4 linked regions of the Saccharomyces cerevisiae S288C genome follow. The gene in region 1 interacts genetically with each later gene. Each region holds a gene or a part of one and is shown on either strand. Other genes may lie near its edges. The genes, in order: REC104, MGL2, UBC6 and PSK2.

What was found.
Region 2: mutations in REC104 (region 1) and MGL2 together harm fitness more than expected from each alone (negative genetic interaction), as found in Saccharomyces cerevisiae (2 studies listed by BioGRID).
Region 3: mutations in REC104 (region 1) and UBC6 together harm fitness more than expected from each alone (negative genetic interaction), as found in Saccharomyces cerevisiae (2 studies listed by BioGRID).
Region 4: mutations in REC104 (region 1) and PSK2 together harm fitness more than expected from each alone (negative genetic interaction), as found in Saccharomyces cerevisiae (3 studies listed by BioGRID).

Annotation. Positions count from the first base shown.
Region 1 is NC_001140.6:410,976-414,162, forward strand, and holds REC104 (Rec104p), read left to right. Parts: upstream 1-1,931; coding exon 1,932-2,480; downstream 2,481-3,187. Other genes in the region: U5 snRNP complex subunit LIN1, read right to left, coding at 409-1,431; KEL1 (Kel1p), read right to left, coding at 2,710-3,187. UniProt on the Saccharomyces cerevisiae protein: Potential transcriptional regulator that is required to activate expression of a number of early meiotic genes including HOP1.
Region 2 is NC_001145.3:685,775-689,699, reverse strand, and holds MGL2 (putative carboxylic ester hydrolase), read right to left. Parts: upstream 2,185-3,925; coding exon 835-2,184; downstream 1-834. Other genes in the region: DML1 (Dml1p), read right to left, coding at 1-617; YMR209C (uncharacterized protein), read left to right, coding at 2,416-3,789; ERG12 (mevalonate kinase), read right to left, coding at 3,902-3,925. UniProt on the Saccharomyces cerevisiae protein: Converts monoacylglycerides (MAG) to free fatty acids and glycerol. Has a preference for palmitoyl-MAG. Does not play a significant role in ethyl ester biosynthesis. Also possesses ester hydrolase and low but persistent TAG lipase activity.
Region 3 is NC_001137.3:357,531-361,014, forward strand, and holds UBC6 (E2 ubiquitin-conjugating protein UBC6), read left to right. Parts: upstream 1-2,031; coding exon 2,032-2,784; downstream 2,785-3,484. Other genes in the region: putative ubiquitin-specific protease UBP9, read left to right, coding at 1-200; ribose phosphate diphosphokinase subunit PRS2, read right to left, coding at 575-1,531; AST2 (Ast2p), read right to left, coding at 2,972-3,484. UniProt on the Saccharomyces cerevisiae protein: Catalyzes the covalent attachment of ubiquitin to other proteins. Functions in degradation of misfolded or regulated proteins localized in the endoplasmic reticulum (ER) lumen or membrane via the ubiquitin-proteasome system.
Region 4 is NC_001147.6:241,458-247,353, reverse strand, and holds PSK2 (serine/threonine protein kinase PSK2), read right to left. Parts: upstream 3,858-5,896; coding exon 552-3,857; downstream 1-551. Other genes in the region: PEX15 (Pex15p), read right to left, coding at 1-204; LDS2 (Lds2p), read left to right, coding at 4,607-4,849, 4,913-5,740. UniProt on the Saccharomyces cerevisiae protein: Serine/threonine-protein kinase involved in the control of sugar metabolism and translation. Phosphorylates UGP1, which is required for normal glycogen and beta-(1,6)-glucan synthesis.

The sequences.
Region 1 (3,187 bases):
TTCGTTTTTCTAGAATTTCGCAAAGTATATAAGAGACCATAAACAGTTGGAGAAAAATATCACAAATTTATCAGCCCAATTTATGGCAGCTTAAAAATGTCTAGGTCGATGCTTTCAACGATATCTTTATCAGGTGATTCTTACGCGCCAGGTGGATAGAGGAAATTTGCGACAGTAGGTTTACTGTCCTGGTTTCCTTGTACACTTGTGATACTCATTTTTTGTCTGCCAATAATATAGTCCTGTTTATTTGTTATATGATGATAACCTTCTCAGCTCACTCAGATCTTTTGATATGATTGATAAAAATTTCCTATCCAACATTCATCAATTTATCTGACCAAACAATAAACTTAGTACTATATAGTCTCGCAGGCAATTCTCTTGAATAATTTCAACTTTTATATCTTACATGAAACTTAAACACGATACATGTATCCAGTTTTCATCTCGATCTGGTTCGCTGTGAAATTTTACTATAACACTGTTTTTGAAGTAGGATTTTTGCCAATAAGACATTTCATAGTTCGTGTACAGGCCGTGATATTCATCTAATTTGTTCAACCACTTGAAGCCCCATAACTTTGTTTTATGGTTAACTATTCTGGAGGAGTCATCGAAAATTTCCTCTTCTATAGCATCCTGAACTTTTAAGCGGTTATATTCATATACTTCACTGAATCCCTTTTTTTCTAGTATATTGATCAAATCAGATAATAGCTCGATTCCGTGAATAACATATTTCAATGATTTGTTCTTTTTTGAAATGGCAATTTTTCGCAGCTTGTTTAACCTGCCCAAGGATTCCAGTACTGTTTCATTCTCATCAACAAGAAAAAATTTCAAAAGATTTAATGCTTCGTGGACCATATAATGTCTCGAATTCTGCGTTTTGACACTTTGTTCCTTTTCTAAGCGATTTACCTCCTCTGTATTTATGACATCATTCATCCATTCCTCATTATCTTGTTGATCATTTTCTGTGGCGTTTTCTGTCTTAATATAATTCCCATCTTTATCGAATACCCCATGTTTTATTTCGTCATCTATATTAAATGGCTCTATATTCACACCTTTTTCTACCTTGCTCTCTGAATTACCGATCTGATAATCTAAGTCGGCTAAGTTTTCTTTCTTGAACTCTGCAATATCCAAAAGCTGAATTTTCGATTTCTTTCGCTTTCTATGGTCTTCGACGTGATCTTCATTTTTTTCATAGGATTTTTCATCCATTTCTTTCCCACTATTTTCATTATCTGTAGAATCTTCAACGCTAGAATCAGAATCAGAATCATATTCTGCCCTGCTTAGCTCTTCATCTTCATATATCGTACTTTGATTATGTAACTCATCGCTAAGCTTTTCGTCGTGTTCACGTCGATCACTATTTCTTTTCAGTTTTGAGCTGTTCGGGTATTGCGTATATTTCATATCCTTCTACAAACAATATGGTGCACTTGAGTGTTTTTATCAAAGTTTTCCCTTGTTCTTTAAAAGGCAGCTTAGCATGGTCATTCCAATTTGTTCGGATGCGCTTCTTTTAATCTAGTCAGAGAAACTTACCCATTAAGTAATTAAAATCGATTATTAGGGCATAAATGGAAGAAAAGGAGACTATGTTGGTAGAATGTAAAGGAAGGGACCCTCATTCACAAACAAGGCAGGGACTTTTATGTTACTACTGAATGTTCATGGTGATGAGTGATAATGTCCTTTAGCTAATAGAGTAAGCCACACTTATTCAAAGGTCAATTTGGAGTAGGCTTACAAATGTAGTCTTTTCTTTCATAAACCAGTAGTGTTAAACTTTATGTTTCTTCAACTTTGACGCACAATATTTGGCGGCTATTTTCCGCTATACCAAATAAAATATATCTTTTGTATAAGAAAACAAACTGCTGAAGAAAAGAACATACAGCAACTTGGACAACATGTCCATCGAGGAGGAAGATACAAATAAGATCACATGTACGCAAGACTTTCTTCACCAATACTTTGTAACTGAAAGGGTTAGCATTCAATTTGGGTTAAATAACAAGACCGTAAAAAGGATAAATAAAGATGAATTTGATAAGGCAGTAAATTGTATCATGTCATGGACAAACTATCCTAAGCCTGGGTTAAAACGAACAGCTTCAACGTACCTCTTAAGCAATTCCTTTAAGAAATCTGCAACAGTATCTCTTCCGTTTATCTTAGGCGACCCAGTATGCATGCCGAAGAGGGTGGAAAGCAATAATAATGATACCTGTCTTCTGTATAGTGACACATTATATGACGATCCTTTAATACAGAGGAATGATCAAGCAGGAGATGAAATAGAGGATGAATTTAGCTTTACATTGCTACGAAGTGAAGTAAATGAAATCAGACCCATATCTTCGTCCAGCACCGCCCAAATACTGCAATCGGACTATTCTGCGCTGATGTATGAGAGACAGGCTTCAAATGGGAGCATATTTCAGTTTAGTAGTCCCTGAGATTTAGTTTGATATCGTTAGCATAAGCTATTTGTCACGTTACTATTTCTCTCCTTCATTTATTCTTCCATGATATATAAATTTTTGTCAAGAGTACAGTTATTATTATATTATATCATTATTATAATTGTTATGATTACTATTAATATTATTAATGTTTATTATCAATGTTTATTATTATTATTGTTATTACACATGAAAAGTGAAATTTCATTACGCATATTGTCTTTTATAGTAGATCGCTGTCAGCATCTTCATTAACTTGTTTGGTGTTATTTTCCAAATTCAATAATCTCTTTTTCAACTCTAACACTTCACTTTTCAAGTCATCTCTTTCTTGATTAGTGATGAAGAGTTCCGCTTTCAGATCATTTATTTTGATGTTGAATTGATTTTCTCTTATGCTGTTGCTATTTTTTACATTATTGGAACTCTCCTCGGTGCTTCTGAGACCATTTTCGAAATTTTCACTGCAGACGCCATTTTTGAACTTCAATTCATCTAACTCGTCGATTAACTTTTTATTCAAACTCTTGTACTTCTCTAGCTCTCTTTGTGAAACCATTAGTGCCTTACTTGCACTGTCCATAGAACTGATACTTTCTTTGTAATCATTCTGTATTTTTTTGATTTCATTCTCTTTTACTAATACATCTTGACTTAATGAGCTGTGTTCCATCTTTAAAGCATGGTATTCAGAAGATAGT
Region 2 (3,925 bases), on another chromosome or scaffold:
AGATTGAAGCCTTGCAGGGTGTCACATTTTTCCAATTCTCTATGCAAATTTCCATCAAAAAACTCTTGCAAGTAATTTTCGGTAAATTCGTCATAACCAATGGAATACCTGTCAAACTTTCGCTCCCCCAAGTTTTGAAAGTCAGGTTGGTTTGGATTTTCAGTGTCATGGTACCAATTTCTCAAAATATTGAAACTTGAAGGACCATAGATAAGTTTAGAATAGTCAGACCAATACATCGTATTTTCTCTGTTCAAACAAGGCAGCGGTGCTCCTGCATCTAGAGAACTCTGATATTCGGATTTAGGTATTCTTGGATGAGTCTTTATAACTGTTTGCTCCTTGAATTTGTCTTCATTGCCGAAATGATAGTCTTGGCTTTCTGAATATTGATATGTTCCTAGTGAACCATTACCTGTACGGGCATCCCAAAGTAAGGCACGTGGTGCATATGAAATTGTTTTTGAAACTTTATCTACAACCGAATTCAGAAAAATTTTGGAGTCATTGACTTGTTGTTCTTTAGACAATTGTAAATAGCCCTCTTGTATATTGAAGAATTGAGTAGTCAAATGGTTTGCTCTCTGCGAAACCGATATCGTTACTACTTCATGCATTTTTTATTCTTGTCTGCCAATTATATATGTAATTTTAACAATTAACCCTCTTCTTCCAAGGTTTTAATTCATCGCATCGATTATATTTTGTTCCATTCGAAATTTTCCATTTTAAGTTTGGCGAAGCTTTTCACGTTTTCATTCAGAAATAATGATGTCGAACATCAAAAAAAAAAATTATCAGGTTACACATCTAAAAAGTTGACTTATTTACAAACTAATTCGCGCGAAAGGTTGTGGCTATGGGTTCGCAATTAGGATCTGGGAGTTGAACATTTTCCAAGTCAGGTTTTAAGCCCTTTACAGTAATTTCGTCGTGAAATATTTTCAAAAATCTGCATAAGGGTTCTGCGTACCACCTTCTGCCGGATCTGTCTTTGAACCATCCAACATGCCCCCCCGTCGAAGTTTCTAGAAGCAAAGTGTATGGATTGGATTTTATTTGGTCTATAGGAAGATCACCTCCGACAATTGGGTCATCCTGAGCATGCAAAGCTATAAAAGGAGTTCTGATCCCGGGTATTCTTTTATATGATGAAGCATTCTTGTAATACTCCTCTGCATTTTTATATCCAAACATTGGGCCTGTCAACAAGTTATCAAATTGCCTCACAGTGCGAATCTTTTTTAAATGCTTCTCGATAACATCTTTGAAATCAGGGTTTTCTTCCAGAGTAGAGAGATGGTTTCGAACCATGCGTAGTAAGTTGTGACCCAAAGCAGGTGAATAAAATCGTGACCCCATTGGTGTACTGTTAATAAAATATGCAGAGTTGTACAGGTCAAATGGATTACTCACGGAAATAGCACATTCGATTTTAGTACGATCTGACTCTTCTCCCAAGTAATTTGTCATTATAGATGCGCCTAACGAAAATCCCATCATATAAAACTTTCTATTCGGAAATCTTTTCCTCAAGTCATTAACACAATATCTTATATCATTGGTCCAACCACCGTTGTATAATAGCGGCGTTGTAATTGCAGAATAACAACATCCTCTAGCATTAAACACGCATGCTTCAAAGTCATACTTCGTGGTGATTTCATGAACAATTGCCCTCACGTAGCTTTCCCTCGAACCCCCTGTTAATCCATGGAGAATAATAAGCATAGGCTTAGCATCGTCTGAGTTCAATTTAGGATCATCAGGGGAATAGTACGAATATCTTCGTTTCAAGTTTCCGTTAAATACCGGTTGACTTGTCGGCACGTATTCTTTTTCCACTTTTCTTCTTTTGGTACTTCTACCATTTACAGCAAAATCCACAGTCCCTTCTCCCCCATGTGGGTATTTGATTATCATTCTTTTATATTGAACTTTGTATATATTGTCAAAGTGTCTAAAGGAACCATATGCAGTTTGTAAATGGCCATTGACCAGTAAACCATATAAAGTGTCAGTAGCACCGTCAGCTAATTCAGGAACTTTAGTATCTATTAGCTCAGGGATGGTGATCTCTTTATTTTCATTCTCTCGTTTATCGGTGGACTTGAATGCAATAGGATCCTCAGGGACCTCTTGATGAACAATCAAAAAATTAGGTAACAATTCTTTTAGACGCATATCGTCTCTGGAAGTTTACCAGCGTTTGTATAATACAGTTTTAAAATAACAAAGTAGTTGGTTTTTATCGAACTTCAAATAATTGAGACCCTTTTAAGATCCACAATACTTTTCGGGGTTAGGTAAGAAGACCCGTAAAAAAAAAAAAACGTAAACGATGCTGTACAATTAACAAATTTTTCAGGAAATAGAAGAGGTAAAAATATTGATATACGAAGTTGAGGAGCGCCAATGGTTAGCTCACTGGCATCAAATATAATTCTAGCCCTTGTGGTAGTCCTGATGACACTGCTAAGGCAAAATAAGCCGTTGCAGAGGTGGTTTGTATCATATGTTGAAAAGCTATTATCAAGAAAATCAAATCTGGCCCAAAAAGTCAGCGTTTTATCGCCCTCCTTAAAATTGGTTGATGTTGAGAAATCAATATCTGCCGATCAATCGAATCTTTCTAAAATTAATTATCAGATTCCCACTCTTCCTGATCTTACGGGGAATTTAATCCGTTTACATGAGTATCGAGCAAGAGGAGAAGGCTATAATGGCCTTTTATTTCGGAGAGCAAGACAATTAAATGGAATTTCAGAAGATCAGTTGCAAAAATTAGGCTACTTCACCAAATTAATGAAAAATAATGAGGGTATCCGAGAAAACGCAAGAGTTATTGACAAGATAATTGAGTTCACTTTAGGGAAATTGATTCATTCCAACGAACACGATGAAGAATTTACAGAGGAAATTGAAAAGATATGCGCGGAACACGGCTATAAGATTAAAGATGGTCACCTTATTCAATTGAATCCTGACTTCGTATTTCCAATAGTTTCGTCTCGAGGCAGCCAAAGTGTGGTCCATGAAGCATTAGCACATTTGTGTCGTGATTTCAGCTCTTACTATAGTGTGGAAAGAGATCCTTTACAAAATTTTATCATTAGTAGAATCAACCATCATGTGATTAGTGCCGGGGACATGAAAGAGAAAATTCTTATCGTGACCCCAGGGGCTGGTGTGGGTGGCCTATCCCATACTCTTGCCACCACTTTCCCCAAAATACAGGTGGACTCCATCGAATTATCAGCCTTGATGTACATATGTAACCTATTTGCACTCGAATATAAGCATGACGTTAAGATACGTCCTTTTGTACAACAATATTCATGCCAGACAGTGTTTGATAATCAGTTGAGAAGTTTATCGGCAGATTTGAGCAAAGTTGGCCACCGCAGTAATCTGGACCCACTATGGGGGGACTTCACACGATATTCTCCCATTTCCAAAGACTATGATAAAATTATCATTTGTAGCGCATATTTCATAGATACCGCGGAAAATATGTTTGAATATCTATCCAGTATTGAAGCACTAAAGAAATACTGTAAAGAGCTGCATTGGGTCAATGTAGGTCCATTAAAGTATGGCACCAAACCCTTGGTCCAATTTACAGGAGATGAATTAAGTCGGCTGCGTAAAATTCGCGGGTGGAAGGACCTTGTGGAGGAATATGAAGTTGATAGCTCAAAGGGATTGAATGGCTATTTAACTGATTATGAGTCAATGTATCAAGGATACTATGGTCTGCTTAAATTTCATTCTGTCTTCGAAAGCTGAATTGATACTACGAAAAATTTTTTTTTGTTTCTCTTTCTATCTTTATTACATAAAACTTCATACACAGTTAAGATTAAAAACAACTAATAAATAATGCCTATCGCAAATTAGCTTATGAAGTCCATGGTAAATTCGT
Region 3 (3,484 bases), on another chromosome or scaffold:
CTGACAATAACATTGAACAGTTAATAAAATGCGATGATTGGTTAAGGGATCGTAAATTGAGGGCAGCTGCAAATATTGAACGCAAAAAGACCTTGGGGAATATACCTGAAGTTAAGACTGCAGAAACCAAGACGCCATTAAATGATAAAAAACGCAATAAGCAAAAAAGAAAATCGAGAATATTGAGCTTCATCAAATAAATCGGGATTGTTTCGATACATCATATAGTTGAGACCCATCTGTTCTAAAAGTATCAATATTAGTGTACCATTTTTTCTTCCTTTTTTAAATAATTTCCACGTTTCTTTCTATTGTTCCTGATCTTTCGAATTTAGTTGTATTTCACTTCACCTACTGTAATAACTTTTTTTTTTTAGAGCACAATAAAATTTCACATATTTTCCAAAAGCAAGGGCGGTAAATCAGAAAAGATTAAGCTTTAATGAAAATCTCATAGAGACCAGATGAAGAATATTGGTGGCAGCATAAGCGCTAATACTGAATAGATATACGCATTTTTTTTCAAAATATCTGTTAGTACATTTATACAAATATATTCGTTTATACCTCTTCTTTAAACAGGCGCATGTGTAAATAAATATGAGACTGATTCTCCATTATGCAATCTTCTGATAGCTTCTGCAATCGTAGGGCTGATATCCACCTGATCGACAATGTCCAAATCCAAATCAACAGGTACCGTGTTGGTGCAAACAATTCTTGATAACCTACTATTTATTAACTTCTCCCTAGCTGAGCCAGAAAATATACCATGTGTGACAATAGCGATAACCTCCTTAGCACCGTGATCCATTAATGTGTCACAGGCTTTCACCAGCGTACCACACGTGTCAGCCATATCGTCAATCAACAAGCATGACTTACCAGCAACATCACCGACAAGCAGCATTCGCGAAACTTCATTAGCTTTTTGCCTCTCCTTATGAATCAAGGCAAAATTCATATCCAGCTTGTCCGCTAAAGAAGCCACCCTTTTCGCACCACCAGCATCAGGCGATACCAGTATCGCATTATTGAAATCTGTTTTGGTCCTTATGTAATTCAACACACTTGGTTCACCGTATAAATTATCAACCGGGATATGAAAAAACCCTTGAATTTGTGAAGCATGGAGATCCATAGTAATAACATGATCACAACCCGCAGTTTCCAAAAGATTGGCAATCAGCTTCGCAGTGATGGGCGCCCGCGATTTATCCTTCTTATCTTGTCTAGCATAAGGGAAATTTGGTATTACTGCCGTAATTCTTCTGACTGATGCCGTCTTACAAGCGTGAATTAAGATAAGTAATTCCATTAAGAAATCGTTGATTTCATGTTCCCCGTAACCAGTTTGGATGATATATACGTCTTCATCACGAATGCTTTCCCCTATTGTAACAGACGTCTCTTTATTTGAATACTGATATACCCCCACTTTAGATAACGGTACACCAAGCCTTTGGGAAATAAGCTCAGCAAGCCCAGGATGTGAGTTACCAGCTAACAACTTAATACTGTTTGTAGACATATTCAACGAAACTTACGACAAGATAGTCTTTGGATGATGAGGAATATCCTCTTCTTAGCAATCCCTCGATGCCTCCTCATATCATCTATTGTTCAAAATTTTTTCATTGTTGAAAAATAGTCACGTGCTTAACCATTTTGCTGCGCGATTTGGTAGGAGGATAAATACACGGGCATACCGTATCTGTTCAATAGCAACAATGTCGGAGAGAGCTAAACTAGCCAACTCGCCATCCTATTCCACTGGTCGCTTGAGTCGATATCCTTCCACAGCAATATTGCACTTTACAATTAGGATAGCCTCCCCAATAAAATAAGGAAATTTTGGTTATTTGTGTTCAGAAAAAGCCGAAATCGATTGCAGAGAACAGAAAGGAACTTTCCGATTATCACACTTTAGGAGCCGTGATAAAGAAGACTACCATCGCATATCGCAGAAAAGACTTTAAATATTAACTAAAACCGCATTCGCAAATTGCAAACAAAGTACGTACAATAGTAATGGCTACAAAGCAGGCTCACAAGAGATTGACGAAAGAGTACAAGTTGATGGTGGAAAACCCTCCACCATATATTCTTGCTCGCCCCAACGAAGATAATATTTTAGAGTGGCACTATATTATCACAGGACCTGCGGATACTCCTTACAAGGGCGGTCAATATCACGGTACTTTAACTTTCCCGTCTGATTATCCATACAAACCACCGGCTATCAGAATGATAACACCGAATGGACGTTTCAAGCCCAACACACGATTATGCCTTTCTATGAGTGATTACCACCCTGATACTTGGAATCCTGGCTGGTCTGTCTCAACCATTTTGAACGGGTTACTAAGTTTCATGACCAGTGATGAAGCCACGACAGGATCAATTACAACATCAGACCATCAGAAGAAGACATTAGCAAGAAATTCCATAAGTTATAACACTTTTCAAAATGTTAGATTCAAATTGATTTTTCCGGAAGTTGTACAGGAAAATGTAGAGACATTAGAAAAGAGAAAATTGGATGAGGGGGATGCGGCAAATACAGGTGATGAAACAGAAGACCCTTTTACAAAGGCTGCGAAGGAAAAAGTCATCTCGTTGGAGGAAATTCTAGACCCTGAAGACAGAATACGCGCTGAACAAGCGTTGAGACAATCAGAAAATAATTCCAAGAAAGATGGCAAAGAACCTAATGATAGTTCTTCAATGGTTTATATTGGTATCGCTATTTTTTTGTTTTTGGTTGGCCTTTTTATGAAATGAAGCCATTAAATGAACTAAACTTTAGATAAATTTTGACAACACAGAATAGAAATCAATAGTATTATATAGACAAAACGGATCTTTTTATTATGAACATTGTGAATTATTAATTATATTTTTGAGTATGTATTGACCAAGAAACCTCAATAAAAATGAGGTGAAACCTAGGGAGACAGAAACTCCCATTTCAAAAACCTTCAACTTTCATTATAAGCTTACCTTGAGCACGTTGTGTAGCCATATAGGAAAATGCTTCCTTGAAATTTTTCCAGGAATAAACCTTATCAACAACGCAATCTACGACTCCCTCATTTAGCAGCTTGCCGCATTCATGTATCCAATCATTCTTCTTGGGGATAATCTTGATATTGGGGTCAAAGTAAAAATGAGAATAATCGTATGACCATAACATTGATCCAAACATTTTTCTTGCATTGGCGCTAGGGTTATCCCAAGAATCAAAGACGTCTTTCTTATAATTTCCAACATAATCACCAACTGTTGTAATATAAGCACCTTTAGCGTGAATTAAAGAACTCGAGTGACTCAAGATATCATAACCACCGATGAAGTCCAACACGACATTAAATTTACCCTGAGTATAATCTTCGGTTTCTTTGAGAGTATTAAAATCATCATAATCTACAACTTTACCGGTATCCAACATACGTCTGAGTGGTTTACTAGATTTTCCCCTACA
Region 4 (5,896 bases), on another chromosome or scaffold:
AACCTCAGACATTTTTTCTAGGCAATCCTTGATATCTCTTTTTATGAAAAGGTTCACACATTCTTGAAATACTTCACTCCTCTGATCATTTACCGACTTGGTCGATTCATCACTTTCAATGAATAAGTCATCGTTAAGTAAATCCCTTAGAGAAGAATCGAGGGAATGCATAGGCAGATTGTTCATTATCTCACTTGCAGCCATTATTCACAGAACCCTCTTGTATAAACCACACCGTAGTACGTTCTGCTAGTGCCTCTTTCTGTTTACCTAACTATTTCTCTTGCCTAAATATGTAAGTCTACGATGACTTTTCTATGGTACTTGATGTCACTCCGACGGCGATAAGCCGCTCAGCGCAGAAGTTTGCCCCAAAATAGAATGAAAGAAAATACTGCATAGAGGCTGGACAAGAAGGATATAGAGCAATGATATGATATTAAAAATGTAATTAATATATAGCCAAAAAAAGAATAGAACATTTATGAAGGTAAATGGTTATGAAAATGGATTAAATTATTCTTTCCCTTTATCTTGGAGAGTACGGAAAACTAGATTTTAAGCCATTTATCTTCATATATTTCATCAATAGTAGGTCTTTTATCAACTTCTCTTGTCAAAATTCTTTTTATCAAACTGATGCATTCTTCACTGACATGTTCCGATTTATCGAACCTTAATTCACCTTCCAAGATTTCATCAATGTTGTAATAAGGATTCTCTTTATAAATTATGGTATAAAGTAGCACACCAAGAGCCCAAATATCTTGTGGTTTACCTTTGTAAGAGGAACCACCAAGGACTTCAGGTGCAGCATAGTCCATTGTTCCCACAAAAACATCGAATGGTCCACTCTTGATATAGGCAGCCGAACCGAAATCGATTAATTTTACAAAGCCATGAGAATCAACAATAACATTTTCGTCCTTTATGTCTCTATGAACAATTCCTTGGTCATGTAAATGCTTTATACTAGCGACTACCTGTTTAAACACCAGTTTAGCTTCATGTTCAACCATATCTTTTTTGAATTCGATAACATCAAATAGATCAATACTACCAGTTTCTCCATGGACCGGTGTTTCAATGTAATAATAATCGTCATCTTCAAAAAAATCTAATAACTTCAAGATATTTTCTTGGGAATTTTTATTCAAGGTCGCCATAATTTGGATCTCAGAAGGTATAGTACCTAATTTTCTATCTCTCACCCATGTGTCTACTAAAATCCTCTCTTTGAAAATCATTTTGATGACCACGATATAGTGTTCTCTGTTATGAATGCATAAATTGACTTTACCGTACGCACCCTCACCCATCACTTGCAGAATAGTAAAATCAGAAAATTTCTTTATGCGCTTTTGTGAGCCTATATTAGCCTCTGGAGTAGTCAAGTACGTAGCTTTTAAAGTAGAATTTCTTTTGTCTAGCTCATTTGTTTCCTTTTTGATTTCTTCTCCGTTTATCGGTTCAATTATCCTCATTATAAATTTTTCATCCACTTTAAAGTTGTCGTCCTTTACAAATTTTGATTTGTCCTGCGTGTACATTTTCGTTAATTCAATTTTATGTTTTAACTCAGGATCATCAACCATTGTCATGTCATCGTCATAGTTATTGTTGTCATTAGATTCGATACCTCTCACTTTACCGCAAGAAGTTTCTCGTAGTTTTTCATTCACTTGATTTAAGTCTACTTCATCGTCTGAATTAGAAATCGTTTCAGCGGAGCTAATCGACAGATCAGCCATTGCCTTCAAAGTATTCACAGGAATTTTTTCCGAAGATTTCTTGGAAGATGCACTGGAACTACCTCTACTGCCAACGACATCAATTTCGTTCTCCTTTAACATCGGTAGCTGCGAAGGAACGGTGGTATAATTTTCAATGACCACGTCTCTTGAGTGTGTAATCCATAATAATACAGCATTCGTATTCAAGACCCGTAATTGAACATCCACCTTTATCAAATTACCATCTTTGTGACAGCCGTCTAGACCAATAGAAGTGTAAAACGAGTCCTTATCATGATGCATTTCAGCCTCAATTTTTCTGAAAAAATGTTCTGTTAAAACCAATCCTTTATTTTCTGGTAATGTGATATTTAACATAGGATAAGTTTTATTGATATAAGATATCATGTCCGCCAAAGAAGGAACCAACTTAGTAACCGAACTACCGGCCAACTCGTGAAGTCGCAAGCCAAACATGTTTTTGGCGACTGATTTGTTGAAACTTAAAAGACTTAAAGTGTGACTGTCAACAATAAATAGCCCAGCCTGATAGGGCAAACTATGAATTTTTAATTTTATTTCGTTTTCCAATACGGAAGTTGTAACAGCACATGGTATATTTTCAGATAGACAATTCAACGTAAAATATCTCTCTTCGTTGACATGATTTGCCACCCTGATAGACAAGGGTAATAAATCATCATCTGCAGAAAACACTTTTCCAAAACGTACATCATCAATTAGTTTACTCAGTGAGTGACTTACTGACCCAATATCGTGAATTTCATTTGCAAATTTTACCGTTTTCTTTTCTGTCATTGGCGAAGTTGATTCTTGCTGCTTTTTCTTGTCAAAGTTTTCCAGAAAGTGTGTTGTATCAATAATGCTGTCCACTGAAAAATCTCTCAAGTTTAACATGACGTCAATGTAATCGCAAGGCGTTTTTTCAAATACGCAGACCAGTAGGCCATTCTTCCGCTTGGCCCATAGTGAAGCCCAAATCAGATTTGGTACATTATTATTGCTTGTCGAATTTGGCTGGACGATAGGTATAGTTTCTCCGGTAAACACAATTTCTTGGTTATCATCTTCTGCATTCATGATTTTCTCTAGAACAAAATTTCTGCTATCCGTATGAATAAGGTCTAGTAAAGTAAGTGCCTTGATAACATTCTTTGATATACCGAACGTTAGACACGCCAAATCATTGGCAGCTTTGAAGTTCCAGGGGTATTGTTGAGAACATGTAAAAATGGCCTCTGGACCAGAATTTTTTGCAGATGTGAAAGGATGAAGAATTCGGCTATAGTCCTGTTGTGGTTTGATGTCTGCTAAGGAGACTATATCATCGTGTTTCTCCTCATATTCATTATATTGCGATTTCGAACCTAAATCTTTGTGAGGGAACTTCTTGTAGTTTTCAAAAAATGGTTCTGCTAAACTATCTAATAAAACCTTTTTCAAAGTTTCTGATTTTTGAATGTCTGAATCAAAGTTTATTTTCTTGATATTCAATAACGATAGCATGTGTAAATCGGAAGCTCTTTCGAAGGAATTGTTTTCCAATGCTAAATTTAGCAAGAATAACAAGTTTTCTAACTCGGACTTGGCTGGATTCAGTTTACTGGCAGTATCATTATCAGGCAACACCATTAAGGACGTTGCTCTCTGTATCACGGGTCTACTAGCAGGAGATGGCATATTGGATACTAATGGTGAAATTAGAGACCCATTTAACGGATCTCGCGATGCTGATAACGTGGCAGTCTCTGTTAAGTTTCTTGTGTGTCTAAGTGAGGGGGGGTATGCTATTACGGGTGCTTTTTTCTTCAACTCATGTAAGATGTCAGGACTGTTTACCATTATTTCCAAAGACCTTCTTAAGATGGTCAACCTTACTCCCAGTGAGTTTGGTGATATGGGATTATACGAAAATGCATGCGGCGACTCATTAGGTACAGCAACAAGGTCCGAACGATCATCATCACTGAATGTTGACGAAAACGAATCGACGGACGAGGAAGCGTGTTGGTACAAGCATGGAGGTTTAGAGAGCCCTACCAACGGGGTATTTTTAGAATATGAAATGTCGGCAGGAGCGGCTGCACTAACCGGGTATGTCATTGTGTTCTTTGTTTATGATTCTTTACTTTAATCTAGCAGGGCAGAGGAGTAACAATAAAACGCCCTGCAAAGAAGTATGATTACTGTTCTTGCCAGACTTAGAATTCTAAGTGTTAAAAGTCACCAATAAGGAAGGAAAAAAGTTTATGATAGTTTATACTGTTGTTGTTACTACCTGCTCCGTTATGTTTCTAACAAGGAATAAAACAGGGTATAGACGTGATGTCAGCTTAAAGAGGAAAACGAAATATGTAAACTTTGTTAAAAATAAACAGGGCCCCTTATTGATCGTTCGCGATGCTATTATTTTATAAGCCAGCCTTTATCGTTTCTTTTGATCTTGTTTCTTTTTCTTGTTTTTTTTTTTAACTTCGTTCTCTTTTCACGTACTGATTACTCACACCAGGAGAAAGAAGTTGAAAAATGCTGTTATTCTCTGGAACACGCTATTAGATAGTACTTGCTGGTTCCGTAGACAAACAGCTCTTGCGCTTTATCACTTCGACAAGTGTCTTTACAGCTTCGCGATGACATATCGTCTCTTGCCCCTGCCCCACCTGTAACAATAGCTTGGCCAAAAAAGAAAAAAATGTTCCGACGAATTTTTCCGCTGATTTTGGCTGATCGCGTCGCGCCACAAAAACGAAACTTCCATAATAAAACATTATATAAAGCTTTTTATTATTATTATTATTACTTTCTTAGTTATAGCATTAGAACTATAAGAGCTGCTAAGACACCAAGCAAACATGTCGACTAGACCCCAACCTGATTGGTATTACCATAGACATCCATATGCCTCTACGCCACTGGCAGAAGGGGAGGAACCACAATTACTCCCCATCCAAGACCAAGGGAACCATAAGAAATCAAAAATTTGGATGGCATACAAGGCTCCGATAGTTCGATGGTACAAGAATGCTATGCTTGTTAAAGACAATTTTTGGAAAGACCTAGAGTCGTCGCACCAGATCATCTGGTATCCGTATAAAGTATGTTGATGTTCCAATAAGCAGATCATGTTTTTTAAGCCGTCATACTAACCGCCTTTGAAGGGAATTAGCGAATCCGTGGGAAACTCGGATTATTTGCATCTATTTTTCCTAATATTTGGATACTACCTGCTGAATCTCCTGCTTATTGTTGCGTTTACGTCAATCCTTGCGTGGTCCTTGTTAGTGTGCATCTATTTGCCCTTTCTCGGACTCTTTGCGTTACCTCTGGCTTATATGCAAACTATTCTGATTTCCACAACGCTATGTAATTCTATGGTGAAGGGTACCGATTTCGTTCTTTTCACACGTATTTATGGAGTGACGTTCGCAAGAAAGGGATTAACAGAGTTGAGTGAAGCCTGTGAAACGATAAGTTTCACGCCCTTTGTCTACAGAAGGTCACATCGTTTGGGTGGCCTCTTTTCGAAACGGTTTTACCTCGTCTCTTTGCCGCAGTTTTTCATTTTTTTCTTCTGGTACATCTTCATAGCCTTTATGTTTCTTTTATTGTTGCTCGTTCCAATAGTGGGTCCAATTACAATCAATATGCTACCATTTAGCCCCGGAATGGGATTTTACTATTTTGAGCCTTATTTTGTTGACGTGCTACATTTGGATTCGCGCAAACTTTCCAAAGTTTACTACAAGGGCTTTGCCAAGTGGCTCCTTTACTCGATATCCAGCGGTTTATTAGAGTCTATTCCCATTCTGGGTGGGTTGTTCATTGGAACAAACGCAGTAGGTGCTTCGCTTTGGATAGTTAAAGAGATAAAAGACCGGGACCAGCCAGCCGTACCTCCTTCCCCTCCTGCGGAACCAGAAGAGCCTACTGTAGGATCCTATGCACCTCCAATCCAACAATCTATAGCTCACATTAATCCGCCATGAAGCTCGCAACTCTTTTACATACCAATTTATATATTCATTATATGTTTACATATATAAATATATATATATACTATATACTATATATTACTTGCTAATAATATTCGTTTCTTTTCAACATTTGTATATGCATAAAAAATTTGGGAAATCAGGGGACTT